3 linked regions of the Pelodiscus sinensis genome follow. The protein of the gene in region 2 interacts with the protein of the main gene of each other region in a pairwise test. Links are inferred from orthologs where the notes say so. Each region holds a gene or a part of one and is shown on either strand. Other genes may lie near its edges.

Region 1 (8,033 bases), on a different chromosome or scaffold from region 2:
AAAGGGCCAGGCCTCCTCAGCAGCCACACTGCATGGTGGGCACCATTGGGGGTGGGGACATAAGAAACCAGAGGCAGAAGTGGAACTTGAAAGCCAGGAGTCCTGACTCCCAGCCCCCTTCCTGTAACCACTACACCCTGCTCCCCTCCCAGAGCCAGGAGCTAGACTTCCTTGCCCCCCCAACCACTAAATCCACAAGCCGGGCCTAGAGCACAGTGATTCTGAGGCTTTGCACTGTTCTTCCACCGCTGCAGCCGGAACCCAGGCCAGGCCAGGCACCCCCCTCCTGTGAGTAAATGTGACCGGAGCCCCTGCCTTGGAGGCATTCAGGTCGCCCCTGGTACCTGCTGCTGCTAACACTGGGTGCTAAGGGGGGAGAGAGTCTAACATGGGACCCTGGCAGAGCAGCCAGCACCCTCCTTTAGAAGTGAGAAGGGCTCTGGCTCTTAAGGCCCCGGCCCAGCCAACCTTCCTGACCTGGGGGTGGCAAAGAGGGCAGCAGTCAGTGCTGGGACATCCCACCGGCTGCCGTGCTGTGATGCCCGTGTCCCTGCTGGGCCTGCCATGTGGCCCTGGTGCAGGGGCCACTGTGCCCAGGGCCTGCTGTTCAGCCCCCAGAGCTCAGTGCTTTTCCCTCTCGTCCCAGGCACGGGGCCTGCGCGCTAGCTGCGGATTGAACTGGGAGTTGTAGCGACGTTTCCTGTCATCCGCCTCCTCTTCTTCCTTGGGCTGTGGCTCCCCCAGCCGCCCAGCCAGCAGGACTTCCGCCCGGGCTCGCTCAGCCTGCTCCCGCCGCAGCCGCTCCCGCCGCAGCTGCTCCAGGGAGAGGGAGGCAGAGCTGCAAGGACAAGCAGAAGGCAACCATAGACCTCTAAGCCCTGGGCTACCAGCTGGCCGCATGGTCCATGAGAACTACAACTCCCAGCATGCAATTCTCTCTCTCTCTCTCTCTCTCTCTCTCTGCAGGAGAGAGGTGATGCATGCTGGGACATGTAGGCTTCTATTTCCACACCTCCTTCCCAATATACCTGCAGCTGGGAACAAGGGAAGTAAATTGCATGCTGGTAAGTGTAGTCCTTGTGGCCTGCAGCATTGCATGCTGGGACTCTTAGTCCCTGAATCCCCTCTATGGTGCTACTCTTACTAGGTCACTGAAACCTAGCTCTGCCGGTATCCAGCTCACCCCACTGCCACTTTCTCCTCCGCTGGCCCCTCTTTCTCCTTCTTGCGCTTCTTCCCCTCCCCTTTCTTCTTGCGCAGGTGACTTTCCATCTCCCGCAGCGGGTCCAGCATGCCCTTCAGCTTTTCCTGCTTGGTCACAGCTGCTGCCTCCAGGCTACGGTCAGGGGCTTCCTGGTACCATGGCCGGCTGGTCTGCGCCTCAGCGGCGCTCTGCCCCAGATAGGTCAGCAGCCCAATAGCCTTCTCCTGGCGCTCCTGGTTGGGACAAAGCAGAACTGAATTGCCTAGAAGAGGGGGCAGCCTCATCTGTAAGGGGGCAGGGTGGGGCCGATCATGGCTCTGGGTGAGACTGAGTGTTTGCAGCGAGGGAAGAGGAACTGGAGGGCAGCCAACGGGATGGAGAACCGGTGGATGGGGGGAGCCAGCGTGCAGGGCATGGAGCAGCACTGCCTTCTAGTGGTGTAAGAGCATGTTGTGGGGGAAGAGGGAGCCCTCAATTCTGTACACAGCCTCTTCCTCCTACAGGGAGCTGTGTTCATACCCACCCTCATCCCCTCTCCTCCAAGACACCAGGATCTGAAACTCAGCTGTACCCCAGCTCCTGTAACAGGGCAGGTGTAGCTACTCTATTGCACGACCCCCCACCCATCAATGCAGCTATGCGGGGGCAACGTAAGCCAGGGTGGAGCTCCCAGAGAATGCAGGTGCTGCTCCCCACCTCACCCCCCCTTTACCTTTTCCTTGCGCTTCTCCTCCTCATATTCCTTGTTCCTGGCCTTGGAGCCCTTGCCCTCCTCCAGGTCCCGGAAGAGGTCGACGTGACGCGGCTCCTCATCGCAGGGGACCAGCGCCGAGCTGCCATCGGGCCCTGGCAGGGCAGACAGCCGCGCCTTCTTCCTCAGGAACTCGGTCCGTGCCTACAGGGCGAATTGGGGGCTGGGTGTGGGGCCAGCTCCACCGGGGGTGGCGGGGGCCCGGGTGGCCATGAGCTCAGTGCAGGGGATCTGGGGGGCCGTGGGGCTGAGGCCTAACGCACTCCCCTCACCTGGGGCAAGGGCAGAGTGGGCAGGGGCCAGTGATGTTACTGGTGCAGCATCTGCCACGCCAGCCCCCCATCCACTGAGGCATGTGGGATTAGAGACCTACCCCATGGAAGATGGTTTAGCTCAACCCCCCCTCCCCATTGGAATGGTTCAGCCCAGCTCCCTTCTGGTCTGCTTCACTCCCCCTGCCTTTGGAAATGGTTCAGCCCAGCTCCCTTCTGGTCTGCTTCACTCCCCCTGCCTTTGGAAATGGTTCAGCCCAGCTCCCTTCTGGTCTGCTTCACTCCCCCTGCCTTTGGAAATGGTTCAGCCCAGTTCCCCTTTCTTCTGCTTTCCCTCCCATATTTGAAAACGGTAAATCCCAGAGCTCCCTGCCTCTTTATCCCTACGCCGTTTAGAAATGGCTCAGCCCCGCTCCCGTTTCGTTTTCACTCCTTTTGGAAATGGTTTAACCCAGGTTCTTACCCCCCCAGACGCTTAAAAATAGTTCAACCCATGACCCCATGGCACGAGTGTTCACTGTCACGCATGCGCACTCGCGGCCGCTTGATGGCGTGCGCATGCGCAGTCATTCACCTCCTGTTCGGCCAGCAGCGCCCGAGCCTCCCGCTGTCGCTGCTCCTCCTGCGCCTGCGCCTCGTCCCGCCGCACGCGGGCCACATTGTCCTTGTTCCGCACGTGCCACGACTTCTTCGGCAGGATGTTCATGGTCCCCGCTCGGGTCCGCCCGGCGCCGCGCCACTTCAGCTTCCGGGTCAGCTCCGCGTTCCAGAGCCGCCCCCTTTCCCCCGCTCTGAATCCTGATTCGCGGGTCCTAGTCCCGCCCTCGCTCCCTGATTGGAGACCCAACGCAGCACCGCCCCTTTTGCCTGATTGGTCCCCATCCAACCTCCCGCCCGAGCTCTTCTCTCATTGGCCTATTGTAGCCACGCCCCTCAGCCAAGCTCTGATTGGGCCAAGCTGGACACAGGCACAGCCCCTTGTAGCCCATTGGACGGGCCAAGGCCCCATTTTCACACCTCCCCTCCCCCACCCTGGAGCTGTTGCCCCCCCAGAGGAGTGAGACACCCCGGCCCCCTCCCCCATCTCTGTCCTCCCCCGCCCCCTCCCCCCTTCTCTGTCTGCCCCCCAGTGCCAGCCCCATCTGCAAACCAGCGGAACTCCTCGCCGCAGGACCCGCCCTTCCCCCAACACCAATGGGGAGACCAGCCTGAGCCTCCCCTCACCCCCACCCCCTGCGCTGCACCCCAGCTCTGGCAGCAGCCGGGTCACACGACGCTGCCAGGTGACCAGCCATTGGTCTGACACCGTATGGCCCTTCCTGGGTACCCAGCATGCACAGAATCACACGGCCTCCCTTGCAGCCGGGGGGAGAGCAGGGCAGAGATGTGAACAGTGGGCTCATTGGATAACCTTCACAGTTACACCCAGTCCCCCCCCCCTTCCCCTCTTTATCAGAGGCTGCAGTGTCGGGGGAGAGGTGGGAGCCAGCTTTTAAGCCTGCTTCCCACACGTACCAGCTCCCACAGATCCACCTGCCTCCCTCCATCCACCCCACTGCTGCTTCTGAGAGAGGCAGCAGCAAGGTGGGGGGGGGGGGGGGAGTCAAGCATGCAGGAGCCAATGCTCACAGGCAGCACGCACAAGCCAGCTCCTGCCTCCATGAAACTTTAAGCGGTTACATGTTTACCTAAATAAACACATTCATTTTAACATCCCTAGGGCAGGAGACCAAGCACTCGCTGAAACAGTGGAAGTAGCAGGATGGATGGGACAAACCCACCACTACTTGCCTCTAGCCCTGAACGTAAGAACGGCCACACTGGGTCAGACCAAAGGTCCATCTAGCCCAGGATCTTATCTGCCGACAGTGGCCAATGGCAGATGCCCCAGAGGGAATGAACAAAACAGGAAATCATCAAATGAGCCCTCCCTTGTCACTCATTCCCAGCTTCTGACAGAGACTAGGGGGGAGAGCAAATTTACCTAATCTCCATAAATTTGCCTAGTTGTTGAACCTTGTCCTCAGACAGGGAGTTCCACAGATTGTGCACTGGGTGAAGAAAAACTTCCTTTTGTTTGTTTTAAACCTGCTACCTATTCATTTCATTTGGTGACCCCTAGTTCTTATGGGAACAAGTAAATGACTTTTCCTTATTCACTTTTTCCACACCAGTCATAATTTTATAGACCTCTCCTTATCCTCCCTTAGTCTCCTCGTTTCTAAGTTGACAAATCCCAGTCTTTTCAATCTCTCTTCGACAAGAATGATTAAAGGTTTAGAGAACATGACCTATGAAGCCAGGCTTCATGAACTGGGCTTGTTTAGTTTGGAAAAAAGAAGATTAAGGGGGGACATGATAGCGGCTTTCAAATATCTAAAAGGGTGTCACAAGGAGGAAGGAGAAAATTTGTTCCTCTTGGTTTCTGAGGACAGGACAAGGAGTAATGGGCTTAAAGTGCAGCAGGGGAGGTTTAGATTGGACATTAGGAAAAAATTCCTAACTGTCAGGGTGGTCAAATATTGGAATAAATTGCCAAGGGAGGTGGTGGAATCTCCCTTTCTGGAGATATTTAAGAACAGGTTAGATAGACATCTGTCAGGGATGGTGTAGACGGAGCTTGATCCTGCCTTGAGGGCAGGGGGCTGGACTCGATGACCTCTCGAGGTCCCTTCCAGTCCTATGATTCTATGATTCTATATGGGACCCATTCCAAATGCTCGATCCTTTTTGTTGCCCTTTTCTGAGCCCTGCACACCAGGCCTCCCCCCCCCCCCCCCCCCCCCGTGGCCACCTTGATTACTTACCCTTTGACCAAGTAGCATTCTATTTTTACTTTTTAATTTCAACCAAAAATGGTGCTTTCGTTGTAACTTTTTCCCACCACTTTTCCCAGCTGCAGAAAAATCAGAAGAGGGTTAAAAAATGTCTGGGGCAGGAGGTTGGGGGTGGGCGTCACACAGTGATTTAATAACATTAGGTGTGAGAGACTCAAAAAGTTACAATTTTATAAGATGTTAAATTGTTATCATTGGGGCACAAAATACACCTAGAAAGGGGCCTGAAATCAAACGCTGGGAAGTTCTCACGCAGGGTTTCTCGGGCTTGGCCTAGTTGTAAATGCCAATGATTGTCAATAGCAGTATCTCTTTTGGGGTTTGGGTGTGTGTGTACGATGAAATCAGCCTGAAAACCCCCAATCAGGGAGGGAGAGACGCAGGTCTCTGCCAAAACGGGGAGACGGATCAGGTCTTGTAGCTGGGGAATACCAGCGCAGCTACCCTGGACTGCGCCAGTGGAGTTCTGCAGCCAGCTGGCGGCAGGAGATTCACATGGGTCCACCGTTTGGAGGATGTGGGGCTAGCCCGGGGCGGGAAAGAGAACACGAGAATGGAGTGTGGAATCCGGGCTCATTTCAAACACAAGGAATAACACCTCTCCTGAAAGAATGTCAGTCACGCGCCGGGTTCTACTTCACTTCCTGTCTGAAACTGAACAGTGGTGCTGGCTGGTGGTAAAGAGAAGCTGGTTCTTAGCACCAGGTCTCTGTATAAATGCCCTTGGGCACCACCTCAGAGGGGCCGTGTCGGGCGAGGGGACAGAAACAAGCTCTGGGCTCTTTGGGGGTTTCTGTCATTCCCCTCCAGCAGGGGGCAGTCTCGGCGCACAGGGAATCGGTGTCGCTGGCCGGGGAGGGATGGTCCAACAAGTTAGGTCAAGAACCCTCCGCAAATCAGCTGGCGGAGTTGTCTTGTTCCGGGAGGGGAAATCGTGGCGTCTGCTGCGCTCTCCTTAACTCAGCTCTGTGATCTGAGTCACTAAGAAAACTTTATTCCGCCCCTCCTGTGGGAGAAGAAAGGGTTAAAAAGCAGTGGGGAAACCCTAGGCATGGGTTCCCAAACTGGGGTGCGTACCCCCCTGGGGGGGGGTGAAGAAATTCCAGGGGGGATGCGAGGCAACCCAGCCTCCTCCCCCCCCATCAAGTTTTGCTGCCCTGGTCAGTTCCTTTTTTTTTTTTTTGCTCAACAAGTTTTGCTGTTATTTTTTGGGGGAGGGGGGGCGTGAAGGTTTTTCAAAAATCAAAAAGGGGGCGTGATGCCGAAAAGTTTGGGAACCACTGTCCTAGAGAATAAGTACAGCCATCTAGGGCACTCCGAGGGCCCCTCTACCCTGGCATCCTGCCTCTGCCACAGCCCCGTCCCATCCACTTCGGAGCAGGTACCACGGCAGCCCCTAGTGGCCGAAGTGGGGCGTACACTGTTCCTCATTTATCCCTGTCAGTGTCCCATCCTGCCAGGCAGATCATCTTGCAGCAGGGAGTCCCACCGGCTAACGGTGATTTGAGACGGGAACCGGCTCTCCCGCAGCAGTGAAAAGCCCCGGGGCCCAATCTCCGCCCTTCTGTGCCAGCCAGTCCTCACCCTGAGGCCAGAGGGGAGCCAACGCCCCTAAAGGGGAAAGGCCCTGGGCCCCATTCTCTGAGCCAGCCAGCCACCCTAGAGGGGACAGGCGCCCTGACGTCACTCACCAGCCGGAGCTGCCCTTTGAGTTCCTTCACCAGGCGGCTGTAGGAATTAGCCAGGGCCATCAGGTAGAACATGAGGATGCTGCAGTGGGGGAAGGGAAGAGCAAAGGTCAGGAGGCTCGTGAGAGATGGGGGGTAGGGGCCGTGAGGCAGGGACCTGGCAAGGGGGGAATGTCAGAAGGGGGATTATCTGCGGAGCCAGCACAGAATTCTGTGTGTGTGTCTGTCCGTCCATCCCTGCTGGAGGGGACAGGCCCTGCTGTGTGTCCGTGTCCCTGCTGTCCAGGGTCAGACCTGCCCCCCTCCCCCCGAACCCCTGTGTGTCCTATCCCCCCTAGCGCCCCCGGCCCAGGGGGATTCCGCAGTGGCCCCTCACCACAGCAGCAGGAAGAGCGGCACGGCGAAGGCCAGCGAGCCCACAAACTGCAGGAACTCCCGGGCCACGCGGGGCAGGGCGTCGACGGCTGCCGAGAGGATGCTCCACATAGTCGGCTCACCCCGGAAGGGGCCACAGGCCTGGGAGGGCTGGAGGCTGCGGGGGAGGGGGGGAGGAGGAGAGTGTGAGCTGGAAGCAGAGGGGGAGGGGAGCAGAGTCCAGACCCAGTGCTGGTCAGGGGCGGAGCAGCAGCAGCATCCTGGGGGATGGTCAGGGGAGGGGAGGGGGGGAGTTGTGACCTGTGGAGGGGGAAGATCAGGAGGGGTCAGGTTCTCAGGGTCACTCCAGAGCTGGGGGGGGAGAACTCTCAGGGTGGGGGCAACCAGAGGAGCTGAGGGGCTGAGTGAGGGGGCAGAGAACCCCATGGAGCTGCGGGGAAATCTTGGGACCAGATGAGGGGGTGGGGGCCCCAGGAAGCTGGGGAGGGGGTGGGGGACCTTGCAGGGGGGGCTAGGCAAGGGGGGGCAGGGACCCAGGGACCAGATGAGAGGGTGGGGGCCCCAGGAAGCTGGGGAGGAGGTGGGGGACCTTGCCAGGGGGGCTAGGCAAGGGGGGGCAGGGACCCCAGGGAGCTGAGGGGGGGTGGAGACCCCAGAGAACTGTGGGAACAGGGCCGGGGGAGGGCACTCACACAAAGACGCTGTAGAGGACGGGCACCCAGGAGATGGCCAGGCCCAGCAGCAGAACCAGCAGGAAGAAGAAGCTGGAGCTGGAGGCGCGGAAGGTGCGGTCGGCCGGGCGGCAGTTCGAGAACAGGGTGAACTGGGGGCGGAGGGAGACACGTGGGCCTGGGGCCATGAGCCCCCCGCCCGGAGCCAGGAGAGAACCCAGGCTGCCGAGCTCCC
Region 2 (7,884 bases):
TGGCAGTGTAGACATACCCAAACAGATTTATTAGGGCATAAACTTTCATAGGTAAAACCCACTTCATCAGATGAGTTGGAGTGGAAGCTACAGAGGCAGGGGTATTTATATGGCGTTAACGAAGCCAATCAAATCAGGGTAGAAGTGGCTCATTAACTGCATTTGGTATGGAGATGTGAATATTAAAAGAGGGGAAATTGCCTTTGTCGTACATTAACCAGTTCAGATCCTTACTCGGTCCTGAATGGTATTGAATTTGCAAATGAGCTCCAGTTCAGCTGTCTCCCTTTGTAAGCATGTTTTGAAATTCTTCTGTAAAAGGATGTCCTGGGCATTCAGTCATGGATTTGAAAGTAGCCATCCTTCTACAAAAAATTTCAAAACCCAATTACCAATGGAAAGCTTATGCCCTAATAAATCTGTTTGTCTCTAAGGCAATGTCTACACTGCACAGTTATTTCGGAATAAGCTATTCTGGAATAGTTATTCCAAAATAGCTTATTTCAAAATAGCACGTCTACACTGCAGAAAAGCCTCAAAATTAGTCCGAGGCAGGCTTCCCTAATGTAGATGTGATACATCGATTTAGAGCCCCAGGAGGAATAACTTAGAATGGCCCTGGTGAGGGGCTATTTCGAAATAGCAGCAGCTATTTCAGAATAGGTGTTATTCTTCGTAGAATGAGGTTTACAAAAGTCAGAATAAGCTGTCCGTTATTTAGAAATTATTTCAGAATAATGGAATTGCTGTGTAGACGCTCACATAGTTATTTTGAAATAACTCCTGTTATTCCGAAATAACTTTGCTGTATAGACACACCCTAAGGTGCCACAGGACTCCTCGTTGTTTTTACTGAGCACAAAATCATACTCACTTCAGCAATAACACTACAAATATTCCACAAGCCACATAACGATAATCAGTGCTTTTTTTTGTGATGGTACTGCCCAGTACGCAGAGCTTACCTGGAAAGAACAGAGAGTACCGGCACCTCTGTAATGAAAATGGCTAACAGTTGGCTGGGTCTTAAAGAGTACTGGCACTTTTTTTTTTTTTTTTTTACAAAAAAAACACTGATGATAATGATATAGAGCCATAGTCTGAAATCTTTACTTAGTTTTTACTCAGACAAACTTTCACTGTATGTCATGAGAGCTTGCCTGAGCAATGACTGAGTAAAATGTGGGAAATAATTTTAACATCTGTCCCACAGCGAGCATGGCTACAGTAAGGACTGGTGTTGCATAAGGAACAAACTGAACTCACCAGAACCAGTTCCATCAGATATGCATTCTTGACTGCAATATAAACTGCAGAATAGTGATAGAAATGTACATATACACTGCAGTGAGCTGAAAATTGCAGTGACCCCAGATAATTCCATGTCAAGAAACTCTCAAATTCACATTTTCCTACGTGGCAGTAAACAGTCAGACAAGAAAGACCATTTGGAGCAGAAGAGGGAAAAGGGGTAATTGACAGGCATGCTGTGGTTAATGAATGTTCATTTGGATTGTATTAAAGTGTAATTGAATGAATACACTAAAAAAGTCTGGCAAGTTTCAATGTTCTTTTTAGTAGATCGTTTTTCATAGCACAAAATCATCACAGTTGTGACTGTCCGCTCAGAAAAATCCCTTAATTTCATTAGCTGGAATGTTGGGGTCAGAATTGATATGCATTACCAAAACTTTATGACAGAGCCAGTGCTATGGGAGTCGCTTTCATTAAGCATAAATGTTTAGAGAATTCTCAGATAAGGAGAAATAAGCCAGTTAAGTCAGGCAAGTTAATTCTTATTTTACTTGCCCAATGGAGTGCATAGGACTAAGTGAATCTACAACAATCGAAATACATCTGCGATTGGTGCTTTTGGATTAGCCAGGCATTCTGCCCCAAGCAAATATTTAACCTACAACTGTAAAACCTCTGGGCAGATAACTACAAAAGCCTGGCTAAAATTTAACTCCCTCACTTCTCCAGACAAACAACCTGATTATATATATATTAAAAACACAAAAAACAAAAAACCCCTAATCCAGAAACACAGATAGGAGCAGAATTAAAGTCTCAACTCTCCTTGTTGAAAATCCTCACCAGAAAGATCAATTGTAATGAGACTGTGTCTCTAGAGACCATTTCATTACAGCCTAGCTCATTATTAGAGTTTTACTGCAGCATAGGAACCTTCAACTGTGAGGAGGTTTTTGGGAGCAGCTGAGATATGATTTGCCAAATCCTATATAAAATTAATAAAATAATAATATTCTGTATCTCTACAATATCTTTTATCCAAGGATATCAAAGCTCTTTACAAAGATTAAGCTGCTTGTGAGGCATTTATACTCATTTTAAAATGCACAAACTGAATGGATTAAACCCAGTGGCCCAAATTCTAAGATATGGCCAACTTGCATTCAACACAGCTCAGGACTCGGAAGGGAGTATTATAAAAGTAACCTGACCACCTTTGCATACCCATATTCAGGTGGCCAATGGATCAAAATCCAGTTTAATCCACAGCATAAATCAGCAAACTTTAGGACTCTGGTAGCTTATGATGGCTACTTAGGGTCCCGAGGGTGCATTCCAACAGATGGGGGTCACTGGAACAAAGAGATGCTTGGGTCAGACCCCTTTTCTGTGACCATGCCTTGCACCAACAACCAGTATCAAGGATAGCATGGAGCTACTATGGCAGCTCTAAACCACTCAAAGAGTCACAAGCACACTTCATCTATACAACGTGTCATTATTACACTAGTATCGAAATAACATTTCTCATACAGAAGTTGAACATAACCTCACAGACTGACAAGCAACGTATCACAAAGCTGCCTTCGTGCAAAAGCTGCAACATTCAGAGGATTGTCTCTGCTCCTGTTAAGTGACCTACCTTTTAATTTTGTCTAATTTTTCAAACTCCTCTGAAACAGGATCTCTTGTATATGACCACTGATTAGTCTTAATGCTCTAGATCTGTGCACTATACCATGTCCGTTTCTTCTCTATCCCTGCTAAACAACGTGTCAGACATGCATGCCTGTACAGCATAGTCCCAGCTTCATGCCAGCTCTGATGGCTGCCTAGGAACCACGAAATCAGATATCGCCCTGAGGAAGAATACACAGTTCATCCAATAGGTCATTAATGTTTCATGGCATAAACTAATGAGGGCTTCTGCTTATGAAGCACTCCCAGAAAAAAGGTTAACAAGGAGAGCAAGATATGGCAAGTGTAAGCCTGTGCCGTAATACCATAGAGATATATTCCAATTCTGATGTGAAAGGACCCAGCCCTGAGAGGGCAATTTGATTACTAGGGGCATGTCTACAGTAGGAAATTATTTCGAAATGATTACATTTGACTTAACTCCCAATTTTACAAAAATCAAAATAGCATTCCCACTACGAGGAAGCCTCGAAATTAGTCCGAGGCAGGCTCTGTTAATGTGGACATGCTACCTCGTCTCGGAGCCCCAGGAAGCACTGGGGAGTAATTCATTTGAATGCCTCTGGGGAGGAGTTATTTTGAAATAGCAGCACCAGAGTGTCCACACGAATGCTATTTTGAAATAACTCTTTTGAAATTAGCATTATTCCCCCAGGAAAGCAGGAATGCACATTTCAAAATAAATGGCCAATTATTTCAAAATAATAGGCTTGGTAGTATGGACTCTCTGCTTATATAGGAAGCCCCCAACTTGCGACGCGATTCGTTCCGGAGGAAGCATTGCAAGTCGGGGGCGTCGTAACTCGAACCTGCATTTACAGCAGGCACCGTGCGCCGTCGTAAATGCAGGCTAAGGACGTAAGTCGGTGGTTTCCGGCCCCTTCCACACTTACAAAAATGGTTGTAAATGTGGGGGGTCGGAACTCGGGCGGTCGCATCTCGTGGGGCCTCCTGTAAATTTGACCTAAAGGGGTTATTTCAAAATAATGCCCAAGTGTAGACCAGGGCCAGATTAATTCACTTCAAGACATTTTCACAAATACCAGCTTGAGACCACACTTTTCTAAATAGCAATTCATGCAGTCTCCTCTCTAGCCTCAAACAATTATCCTTAAGTCTTTTAGTGATGTGCTAGAAAGCACCTTCATAGATGAACAGCAGCAGTTTTCTGTGCCTGACAATGCTTTCCCAGAACCAACAGTGAATCAGGTGTGTCAAGTGCCTTAGCTACAGATTGTGCAATATATCTTGAAGTATTATTAAATTAGCTAATTAATGGATTTTTTGTTTTATTTTGGAAGTGAAAATGGTAGGAGTAAGAATTAATCAGAGACTCCCCAGAGCACATTTCCAGTAGTACATTAAAAAGATACAGCCAATCTATAGGACAGATCTAAAGATTCTGCTTGTCACTAATCTGTTCAAATGCAGTACTATTTTTCCTGCACCTTTCTATTCTTTCTCTGCTGAAACAGACTTTCCTGAAGACAGCTGTGGTAGAAGACAAAAAGCTACTATTCCAGTCATCCTAGGTATCTATGTTAGATTGCATCCGGTTTGTTTTGCTATGTACATCTAATGAGAGGGCAGTCCAACGCCTGATGCTAAGTATCATGAGTCTGAATCACTAGACTTCATGCAATGAAAAATAGAGTCAGTAAATTACATTGCACAGATGTTGAGTCATGGCTGGAAAATTAATTCAGTCTCATAAAACACTCACAGTTCAATTCAGGAAATGTTACTGCCAGAAATTAAGTGATCGTTTTGAGAAATGCACATCAGTGTAAAGTACATAGTAACTAGGGCTATGTCTAGACTGCAGGCTTCTTTCGAAAGATGCTCTTTCGAAAGCATCTTTCGAAAGAGCATCTTTCGAAAGATCGCGTCTAGACTGCAGGCGGATCTTTCGATAAAGGAAATCCGCTTTTTCGAAAGAGAGCACCCAGCGAGTCTGGATGCTCTCTTTCGAAGACGGCCTCTTTACATTGAAGAACGCCTTCCTTCGAAAGAGGAACTTTCGAAGGAAGGCGTTCTTCCTCGTGAAACGAGGTTTACCGCCATCGAAAGAAAAGCCGCGTTCTTTCAAAATAATTTCGAAAGAACGCGGCTTGAGTCTGGACGCAGGGGAAGTTTTTTCGGGAAGGCCTAGGTGGCACAAAGCTCTTTCTGCTATGAGGTTTTAGAATCTGATTTATGCTGTTCATCAAGACAGTCTATTAGGGTTAAAAAAAATCCAGCCTGTATAATGAAACACATTGAGTTCTTTCTTGTAGGGCCCAGATCATCTCCAGATGTGGGGACATGGAATTTGGTAACTATTATGAATTGTAAGCAAGAAAACGTGTGAGGTTTATTTTATATGTAACCAAGAAAGCTACATCTACACTGTGGCGCTATTTTGGGATACTGAAGGTATCCCAAAATAGCTGTCCCATGTCTTAGCAGCACACCCATTATTTCAAAATATAAGGGGGTCACTATTTGGACGTCCCTGTAAACCTCATTCCACATAGGGTTGCCAGAAGGTTTAACCAAAAATACCGAACACCCCCCCAGACACACACAAACACACACACACACACACACACACACAAAACCACCGGGAAAAAATTCTGTTGAGAAAAAAAAGGGGTGCTGCACCTTTAAATGACCCTGCACTCCTCACTCCCCCATCCCCACCAGATGCAGCAGGAGAAAATTGTCCCGGCTGGGCTTCTGTCAGAGGGAAACAGGAAATACCAGACAGGGCAAAAACTGGACACCTAGCAACCCTAATTCCACAAGGAGTAAGGGGTGTTTCGGAATAGCAGGTTATTTTGAAATTACAAAATAAGCTATTTTGAAATTCACTTGAAATAAGCTACGTAATTTGCGTTGCTCAAATCGCATAGCTTATTTCGAGCGATGGGTGCAATGTAGATGCACCTGAGCAGAATGAACACAGCATTATATTAGGATTTACACATAAATCTTCTTCGTTGCATTTAAGAGAGAGGCCAATATTGCCTATGTTAATGAAACAGGTATATCCATGCAAAGAAAAATGTGACAGAAGATAATATATAAAACTGTGATGGGTGTTTATTTACATCACACTTTACAAGTACAAATTCAAAGTCATATACGCAAAACACAGCAGGCAAATAATAATTATAGTATGCAAATGGGCAATCAGAACTAGGGTATTTCCCAACAAAATTAAATAGCATTGCTGTTGAATTGCTTTGGTTGCTAAATATTGGTCACTAGATATTGGTCTGCTTGCAGAACTATGAGGTAACACTACTTTTGCTGCATTGGCATTAATACCTACAGCTGCCATTAGGGGTCAAGATAGTCAACAACTACTAGGAAATGTTGCTGAGAACATTTTCTACCAGCTGTAACAATTTAGTGTCTCCTGAGAAAAGTTTACAAGCATCGAGTAATTATTACTGGTTGCCTGTTACTGTTAATCAGCAGTGTAAACAAGCTATTATAGTACAGCATCATTCTTCAGCTTTTATGTCTAAAGTTCCCAAGTGTAACCTGTTAATGAGACCAAAACACTGTAATAGCAGATATCATGTACTGCTGCAACAGAAAGTGTATGTCTCTACATCTCACCACGCTTTTCAATACCAGGTAATTTAAATTACTCAAAACAATAGGTATAAAGTAGAAACCTGTAGGATTATTTTTAAAAGGTCTGTTCTCTAAAAACTGCAAATAGGTTATTTTGTTTTACATAGTTTTTGTGCCATTGGTTAAAAATTAACTGCTGTGATACCAGGGAAATGGTAAGGCTCAATTTATACTATATGGCTGTGCAGGGGCATATGAGAGAGTAAAGTCTCCCCCCATGCAGCCTCCCCAGGATCTAGACCCATAGGGATAGGTACTTTATAGCAGCTATTCCTCGCTGAGCAAGAGGGTGGGAATGCATGCCGGGTGAAGTGTTGCAGGGCTGGCGTTGTATTTGTTATTGAGACGTGATCGCTTTCCTGTGGGCCTCTTGGTGCAAGCTACACACATAGGCTACGTCTAGACTGGCATGATTTTCCGCAAATGCTTTTAACGGAAATGTTTTTCCATTAAAAGCATTTGCGGAAAAGAGCATCTAGATTGGCACGGACGCTTTTCCGCAAAAGCACTTTTTGCGGAAAAGCGTCCGTGCCAATCTAGACGCAGTTTTGCGCAAGAAAGCCCCGATCGCCATTTTCGTGATCAGGGCTCTTTTGCGCAAAACAATACCGTGTTGTCTACACTGGCCCTCTTGCGCAAATGCTTTTGCCCAAACGGGAGCAGCATAGTATTTCCGCAAGAACACTGACAATCTTACATGTGATCGTCAGCGTTCTTGCGGAAATTCAAGCGGCCAGTGTAGACAGCTGGCAAGTTTTTCCGCAAAAGCTTTTGCAGAAAAACTTGCCAGTCTAGACACAGCCATAGAGTGTGTGCTTATACATGTACAGGTTCACCTGTATGCTAGCTCTGATTTCCACATGAATGGAGCGCTACTATTTACAGATGAAAGAACAGCCACAAATCCATTGCAAAGTCCCCCAAAGTTAAATTAATAAAATGTACTTAATTTTGAGTTGGTTGTGGAGTCAAACGGGACCATCTCACCTTCATTTTTCTTGCTGTATGCCATGAAATATACAAACAAATGTACCCAATATGCACAAATGTATTGTGCTTTATCTTAACTACAATTCAGTACATGGATTTCAAGACGGGAGACTTTAGCAAACTCAATGAGTTGGTAAAGTAAGAGCCAAGGGAAGCAACATTAAAGGAAAAACAGTTTGGGAGAGTTGGCAGTTTTTCAAAGAGACATTATTAAGGGGACAAGAGCTAAATATCCCACTGCATAGAAAAGATGGGAATTATGGCCAGAGATCACCCTGGCTTAACCAAGAGGTCATCGGTGAACTGACATTCCAA
Region 3 (7,807 bases), on a different chromosome or scaffold from region 2:
CTAAAACCTTCACCCCTACCCCAACCTGCACCCTCCCTCCCTCCTAAAACCCCCGCCCACTCCTGCACCCTCCCTCCCTCCTAAAACCTTCACCTCTACCCCAACCTGCACCCTCCCTCCCTCCTAAAACCCCCACCCACTCCTGCACCCTCCCTCCCTCCTAAAACCTTCACCCCTACCCCAACCTGCACCCTCCCTCCCTCCTAAAACCCCCATCCACTCCTGCACCCTCCCACCCTCCTAAAACCCCCATCCACCCCTGCACCCTCCCTCCCTCCTAAAACCTTCACCCCTACCCCAACCTGCACCCTCCCTCCCTCCTAAAACCCCCATCCACTCCTGCACCCTCCCTCCCTCCTAAAACCCCCATCCACTCCTGCACCCTCCCTCCCTCCTAAAACCTTCACCCCTACCCCAACCTGCACCCTCCCTCCCTCCTAAAACCCCCATCCACTCCTGCACCCTCCCTCCCTCCTAAAACCCCCATCCACTCCTGCACCCTCCCTCCCTCCTAAAACCTTCACTCCTACCCCAACCTGCACCCTCCCTCCCTCCTAAAACCCCCATCCACTCCTGCACCCTCCCTCCCTCCTAAAACCCCCATCCACTCCTGCACCCTCCCTCCCTCCTAAAACCCCCACCCACTCCTGCACCCTCCCTCCCTCCTAAAACCTTCACCCCTACCCCAACCTGCACCCTCCCTCCCTCCTAAAACCCCCATCCACTCCTGCACCCTCCCTCCCTCCTAAAACCTTCGCCCCTACCCCAACCTGCACCCTCCCTCCCTCCCTCCTAAAACCTTCGCCCACTCCTGCACCCTCCCTCCCTCCTAAAACCCCCACCTGCTCCTGCACTTTCCCTCCCCCCCCCCCCCCGACCCAACAACCTACCTCAGCCTGCTCTCCAGTGGCCCCCTCCATACACTTGAACCCCTCTTTTGCCCTACCCTAGAGCCTGGGGGACCCCACAAAATCTGCTAGCACCAGGCCCCCAGAAGAGTTAATCCAGCCCCTTTTCTCTGCTTTTTTGGGGGGGCACACGTGTGAGGGAGAAGGGGTGTGTGTGGTGCCTTTCCTCCTCACTTGAGGGGCTAGGTCAGTGACAGTGGGTGGGCAGGGTTATCTTGGGGTGGGGGGGGGGTTGCTGCTCCCTTGTGGGCAGCGGCCCCTGACCCAAAAAGGGATTCCAACCCCTGGCTGAGATCTCGGCCCGTAAGCCAGGACTTTCCACCCCACTGAGTCTCCCTCCCCTACACACATTCCAAGGCCATCTGGCCCTCCAGTGCCCTGGGCCTTTGCAGACATCTCTCGGAGACTCTCTACCATCCAACTTTCCGCTGGGCCCTGGAAGTCCTAGGGCCACCAGCCGTGAACTGGGGAATGGGCCGGATCAGAGCCTTGTGCCTTTGGCTGCCCTTTGAACCTCGCCCTGATCTCTAGACTTTGTCCGTCTCCCAGCAGCCCACGTGTGGGCCGGGAGTGAGTCTCCGTGGACAGTCGCTCACGTCACACACAGAGAGCCCATCGGGGCTGGTATTCGTTGGCCCCTTTGTTACCCTGGCTCAGCAGAGGACAAGGACCGAAGGGGCCAGCCCTCCCCTGCAGGGACCCAGGACTGACCCACACCGGGGCAGTTAGCCCCACCTCTGCCCACCCTGATCTCTAGGGAGGGGATTCCAGCCCCTCGGGCTGTTCGCACATTGTGTGGTTCCCTCTGGGGACTCTTCCCAGCCCAGAGTGCCACCAAGCAGCCCCCTGGGGTCAGGAAGATCCGTCCGGATGGACAGGATCAAGCATAATTGTCCCCGAGGGGTTTCTTCCACTGCCTTCAAAGCAGCTAGTGCTGGCCCCTGTCGGAGACGGGACACGGAGCATGGACTTGTAGTAGGACCACGAGCCCCCAGGCGAGAGCGGAGCCCTCTCAGGCCAGCCTGGGCAGACAGTGGGAACTGCTCCCTTGCCCCAAGGAGCTCACAGGCCCCCTAGAGAAGAGAGAGAGAGTGGGAGGGGAAAGAGGCCAGGGAGGGGAAGGTTACGCAGCTGGCCGATGGCAGAGCCGGGCAGAGAACCCAGGTGCCCCGACTCACGGCTCCCCATCGGTCCTTTCTCCACGGATCTCACATTGCCTCTTCTCTCTTTCCCCTCCCTTCCCCCCTTCTCCCCCCGCCCTGGCAGACAAGCTGGAGAAATGTGCCGGCATCAGCCTCTTGATTCAGAACACCTCGTGGCTGCTGCTCCTGCTCCTGTCCCTGCCGCTCCTGCAAGCTGTGGACTTCATGTCCCTGTGAACGGAACAGGCGCCCGCACCGACCGGCCGAGCCCCACCGCCCAAACGTGGCCCTTTGCAAGAGAAGACGAAGAACGATTTGAAACCAAGGAAATCTCTCTGTGTATATCTCTCTATATATCTGTATAGCTACCGGTACCGCCTGCCCCCCGCTGCCATCACACCACATGTCCAAACCACGCTGGGGGCCGGGGTGGGGGGGTTTCTAAGCAGTATTAAAGGATCCGACGCATGGTGGCCTTCCCTTGCTCTCTGCTAGATGGTGCAGCTTCTTCCATAGCCAGTTTGGTGGTTTGTTTTCAGGGGCAAGGGTGCAGCTTTGCTTGTCCTGTTTTTTGTCTTTCAAGGAGGAGGAGACCCAGGGGGGCCCCTGGACCTGACTCTGGTAAGAGAGATGATCACAGAGTTAGGGAGCGAAGGGGGCCTTTTAGCCACACCCCAGCCTGGGAACGGCTGCTCGCTCTGGAGTGGAGGGGTGCCCCTGTGGATAGGTTTGGCCTGGGTTAGCCAACCTCAGGCAAAGGGAAAGCTTTTGGGGGGGGCTGTGCAGTAGCTTTTCACCCCGGGGCAGCTGGGCTTGACTCCTGCAGGGAGAATAATTTAGGTGAGCGCTTATTCTGTTCTTTAGCAGCCATCAGTCCCCCATTGCACCAAGCCATGGTCCTTGGCACTGCTTGCTTCTCCAGCGGAGGGAAGGGCCAGCATTAAAACAACAAGGCATGATGTTGAGTGGGCGGGGAGGGTCATGCTACATGGAGCCCCGACTGCAGCCACCACAAGGGGGTGCTGCAGGGCTCGTGTGGGGCGCAGGGCCGGACTGGTCAGAGGCACCAAAAGAGCAAGGAGCTTTAGGACTGAGGTGCCACTGCAGCCCTGCCCACGCAGAAAGGCCCATCGCTCCGGGAGCAAGCCCTCCCCCGTAAGATCAGAGGCTGGCGGTTCGGTTAGGAGGTTGGGGGGAGAGAGGAATTCGCCCCACGGGAGGGAATGCAGGAGACAGCGGTTTCACCAGAGTTCCCTGCACAGCCACTAGCTGGTAGAAACTCCTTGCTCAGCTCGCTGTGGGATTTCCAGGCAGAGGCAAGTGCCTTTCTCCCCAGCAAGCAGGAGGGAGCAGCTGCCTGCCAGTCGAAGGTCCAGCCACGGGCCTGGGCAAGAGAGGATCTACCAGGAGGGTGGGGTGCTGCCGCAGCCCACATCTCTAGAACCAGTCAAAGCTACTCTGTTCCCCCCTCCCGCGCTCATTAGCACACGTGGTTGTCTCCCCCTAGTGGTCATGGGTAGATGGCAGGAGCAGGGGCTGCCCCCAAGCGCCAGGCTCTCATCCCTGCATGCCGCCCTCTGGGTTTGTCCCCTGGTGCTAGTGAGACGGGCTGGCTCAGCTCCTTGCCTGGCCTGGCTTTCCTCCTGCAGCGTAGTTTCCCTCCAGCATCGGGCTAGCGCACGACCGGCCAGAGGGCAGGGGGGTGGCAGTCTTCCTCCCTGGCAGGTTGACGGGCTCTGGGCAGGCCTTGCCTCTCCGCAGGAGCCGAAAAGGCCACGACAGGTGTTTCTTGTGGCCAGCGGTTTGCTGTGTGACAGGCACCCCAGACTTAGAGTCCCCAGCTTGAGGCCAGAGCAGGGAGCTTCCAGGATGGAGGCCTAGGACTTCCCAGTGAAGGACTCTCCTGAGCCCAGCTAGCCAGCAGGGGGGGGCTTCACCTTGCTGTCCCCGGACATGGTCATCTCCCCTGGGCCGAGCCGCAGGGCGAGGGAGGAGCAGAGGTCCCCGGCCGGCCCCTGCTGCACACGTGGGGCCGTGGGAAAGCAGGAGGATGGGAACGGACCTGCGAGCTGGGGGGGGGAGCCGGAAGGGCTAAGGGTGCCCGGCTCTGGGGAGTTGGACCCAGCCCCTGCTCGGCTCGAGGGTGCTGAGTGTGAGACAACCGCAGTGCGGCGGCTGGCTCCGGTGAGCCGCTTTCCCGCCAGGCCCCCTGCTCGTTCGCTGTCCAGTGCGCTCCCCTGCCCGGCTGTCCGGCCCTGTGCATCTCCCCCTGACGGCAATGGCGGGGGAGGGGGCGGGGGCAGACCCAGGCACCCCCCACTGGTGTTTCCTAGTCTCGTTGCGTGACCATTTGTCGTGTTTCCACAGCTTGGTGTACAAGAAATGCTGTTGGGGGGGGGGGGGGGAGGAGGACCAGACCTCTGCACAATAAACCCCTGGTTGTGTGTTGGATTCCCAGCGCCTCCTTATTTCCGCCGGGGGAGGGGGGGGGCAAGAAGCGCTTTGTGTTTCCTCTCCCGGGGGGCAGCCGTCAGGACGGGCCTGGCGCTGGCCCGCCCTCTAGTGGCGACAAGCGGGACTGCTGGGCTGTGTGTCCTAGCCCCTCTACTGCCGGGGGAGGAGGGCGCGCTAGGGGCTCTGTAAACGGCCGCGTGCGGGCTCGCCCTGCCTGGCTGCGGCCTCGGCCCCTCGCTGCTCCCGGGAGCCGCACGGGCGGGGGCCCGAGTAGCATCAGGGGCGGGGATCCCCGCGGTCCCGGCCCTACGGGGCCCGCCCGGCAGCAGCCTCCCCGCCCCGCGTCAGCTGCGCCCCGATTGTGACATCAGCCTCGGCCGGGCCCCGGCGGCTGCACCAAGGTGACCGGCGCCGGCTCATCCCCGCCCAGAGCCAGGTGAGTGCGGGGCGGCCCCCCCCCCGGTTCTGTGCGCCCTGGGGGGGACCTGGTCCCCCTGGCACAGTGCCAGCCCCACCTGGGGGGGATCTAGGGGAGCCCCCCCCGGCACAGTGCCAGCCCCACCTGGGAGGGGATCTAGGGGAGCCCGCCCCCCCGGCACAGTGCCAGCCCCACCTGGGAGGGGATCTAGGGGAGCCCGCCCCCCTGGCACAGTGCCAGCCCCACCTGGGAGGGGATCTAGGGGAGCCCGCCCCCCTGGCACAGTGCCAGCCCCACCTGGGAGGGGATCTAGGGGAGCCCGCCCCCCTGGCACAGTGCCAGCCCCACCTGGGAGGGGATCTAGGGGAGCCCGCCCCCTGGCACAGTGCCAGCCCCACCTGGGAGGGGATCTAGGGGAGCCCCCCCCCGGCACAGTGCCAGCCCCACCTGGGAGGGGATCTAGGGGAGCCCCCCCCGGCACAGTGCCAGCCCCACCTGGGGGGCATCTAGGGGAGCCCGCCCCCCCGGCACAGTGCCAGCCCCACCTGGGAGGGGATCTAGGGGAGCCCGCCCCCTGGCACAGTGCCAGCCCTACCTGGGAGGGGATCTAGGGGAGCCCGCCCCCCCGGCACAGTGCCAGCCCCACCTGGGGGGGATCTAGGGGAGCCCGCCCCCTGGCACAGTGCCAGCCCCACCTGGGAGGGGATCTAGGGGAGCCCGCCCCCCGGCACAGTGCCAGCCCCACCTGGGAGGGGATCTAGGGGAGCCCGCCCCCCTGGCACAGTGCCAGCCCCACCTGGGAGGGGATCTAGGGGAGCCCCCCCCGGCACAGTGCCAGCCCCACCTGGGGGGGATCTAGGGGAGCCCCCCCCTGGCACAGTGCCAGCCCCATCTGAGGGGGATCTAGGGGAGCCCCCCCCGGCACAGTGCCAGCCCCACCTGGGGAGGATCTAGGGGAGCCCACCCCCTGGCACAGTGCCAGCCCTACCTGGGGGGCATCTAGGGGAGCCCGCCCCCCTGGCACAGTGCCAGCCCCACCTGGGGGGGATCTAGGGGAGCCCGACCCCCTGGCACAGTGCCAGCCTCACCTGGGAGGGGATCTAGGGGAGCCCGCCCCCCTGGCACAGTGCCAGCCCCACCTGGGGGGGATCTAGGGGAGCCCGCCCCCCTGGCACAGTGCCAGCCCCACCTGAGCAGGCTCTAGGGGCCATGTGGCCTTATGGCGCAGTGAGGCTCTGTGTCTGTCAGGGTTCCCTCCCCCCTAGGCCATGCCCTCTGCTTCCCGCCAGCCTCCACCCCACAAAAGCAAATCTGGCCAGGCCAGCCCCGGGGGGTTGTGCCAGCCCCGGCTCGGCTCGGCTCTGTATAAGCGATGGGCATGGGGCTGGGGCCTCGCTGAGAAAATCTCTTCCCCCACTCAGCCCCTGCCAGAGTCATCTGGGTGTTAGGGGCGTGCCCCATCCTGCGGGCGGGGGGCGGGGGACGGGGGAGAATGTGACACGGCTGCTCCCCTGCCCCACAGCAAAGGCAGGGTCTGGGCAGAGGGAGGCCTGGGCACGTGCCCAGTCTGCTTCATTCCCCCAGATCAGCGCCAGCCCCCCAGAGCCAGGCCTGCAGCCCCCCTGCGTGCGCGTGCACTCGTGCCTCGCCGCACGCGCACCTGGGCCGTGCCAGCACGCCCTGCGGGTGCACACGCACCTCCCTGTGGCCCCGGGATCCTCCAGCTCCCTCCCCCAAGCCGTGGGCGAGAGGGGCCGTCCGGCCGAGTGCCTGTCTCCGGCGCCCGTGAGCAGAGCTGCTGAGCTGACTGGGCCCGAAGAGAGCAGGCTCCCTGAGCACAGCGGGAGGAGAAACATTCTCCCGGCTCAGGGTGGAGCTGCTGGAAAAGGGGCCTTCCCCGGTGTCGCAGCGCCCGATAGATCCCTGGCATCGTCCCGTGGGCCCCCGAGGGATAAAAGCGGCCCAAGTGTTTTCCCAGCGCCATACCTGGGCTGTAGCATCCAGGTGAGGGGAACAGGGAGGGAAGTGGCAGCTTAATTGCATCCTGCCTCGTTACTCACAGGACTGAGTCACTGCCCTCCGCTGCTCCCGAGCAGCCCCGATTCACGCGGGCACTGACTTCAGGGGAGTTACACCAGGGTGACGCTGACCCTGGGCCTTCTGGCCAGGCACCTCCCTGGCTCTGCTGCCTGCCAGGAGCGGCTGCATCCCTCTCGCTGAAGAGCCCTGGAGGGGCAGAAGGGGGCGAACGGCCTAGCTTGCACAAAGCTCCCTGGGCCCCATCTCCTGCCCCCAGGAGGGCCACCCCACTGCTGTCAGGCCAAGCAGAGGGGGTGGAGCTCTCACAGAGGATCCCAGAAGCACCCACGGGTGCCATATGGACCCCCGGCCCCTCGGGGTCAGCGTGGGGCTGTGCACTGTCTGGGCTCCTCCTCACCATCTCCTCCCGGGTCCCACACTCAGCACCGTGGCATCTGCCTGCCAGGAGAGCAGGAGGGACCATGTCCCAGTCCACTGCTTTCCTGGGGAGGATGCTGTTCCTCCCAGACGGAGCTGGGCTGGGTGCCAGCAAGCAGCATTTCTGGGGTCCCTTGTGGGCAGTTGCCTGCTATTCATCCTTCTCCCCAGCAATCCTGTCTCCCCTCCCTTGGCCTCAACCCCTCTCTTCCCTTCTCCCCTTGTGTGGTTCCCCCTCACGCCAGCCCCCCTCTTCTCTTCCCCCCACTCCAGAACCCGTCCCCTCGAAATCTGCTACAACTCCCTTTTGCCGACTCCCAAAGCTTCTCCTTCCCCCAGTCCGCCTCCGCCTCCTCCCCTCCCCGGAGCCCCCTCTCCAGGCCGGGCCCGGCCCCCAGGACACGGGAACCCCTCTCCCGCGCTCTGTG

What was found.
Region 1: the proteins of KIFC3 (region 2) and LENG1 interact in binary tests that used the Homo sapiens proteins (3 or more experiments, as listed by UniProt). The two-hybrid records come from large-scale screens. The link is inferred for Pelodiscus sinensis from reciprocal best matches to the Homo sapiens genes KIFC3 and LENG1.
Region 3: the proteins of KIFC3 (region 2) and USP2 interact in binary tests that used the Homo sapiens proteins (3 or more experiments, as listed by UniProt). The two-hybrid records come from large-scale screens. The link is inferred for Pelodiscus sinensis from reciprocal best matches to the Homo sapiens genes KIFC3 and USP2.

The regions. Positions count from the first base shown.
Region 1 is NW_027465849.1:4,029,814-4,037,846, reverse strand, and holds the start of LENG1 (leukocyte receptor cluster member 1), read right to left. Parts: upstream 3,019-8,033; 5' UTR 2,934-3,018; coding exon 2,802-2,933; intron 2,100-2,801; coding exon 1,917-2,099; intron 1,438-1,916; coding exon 1,184-1,437; intron 839-1,183; coding exon 622-838; 3' UTR 1-621. Other genes in the region: voltage-gated chloride channel TMC4, read right to left, coding at 6,020-6,070, 6,756-6,834, 7,129-7,284, 7,820-7,950.
Region 2 is NC_134722.1:45,848,969-45,856,852, forward strand, and holds the start of KIFC3 (kinesin-like protein KIFC3), read right to left. Parts: upstream 3,032-7,884; 5' UTR 2,897-3,031; intron 1-2,896. UniProt on the Homo sapiens protein: Minus-end microtubule-dependent motor protein. Involved in apically targeted transport. Required for zonula adherens maintenance.
Region 3 is NC_134736.1:5,827,422-5,835,228, forward strand, and holds the start of USP2 (ubiquitin carboxyl-terminal hydrolase 2), read left to right. Parts: upstream 1-4,789; 5' UTR 4,790-4,940; intron 4,941-7,807. Other genes in the region: THY1 (thy-1 membrane glycoprotein), read left to right, coding at 2,175-2,287. UniProt on the Homo sapiens protein: Hydrolase that deubiquitinates polyubiquitinated target proteins such as MDM2, MDM4 and CCND1. Isoform 1 and isoform 4 possess both ubiquitin-specific peptidase and isopeptidase activities.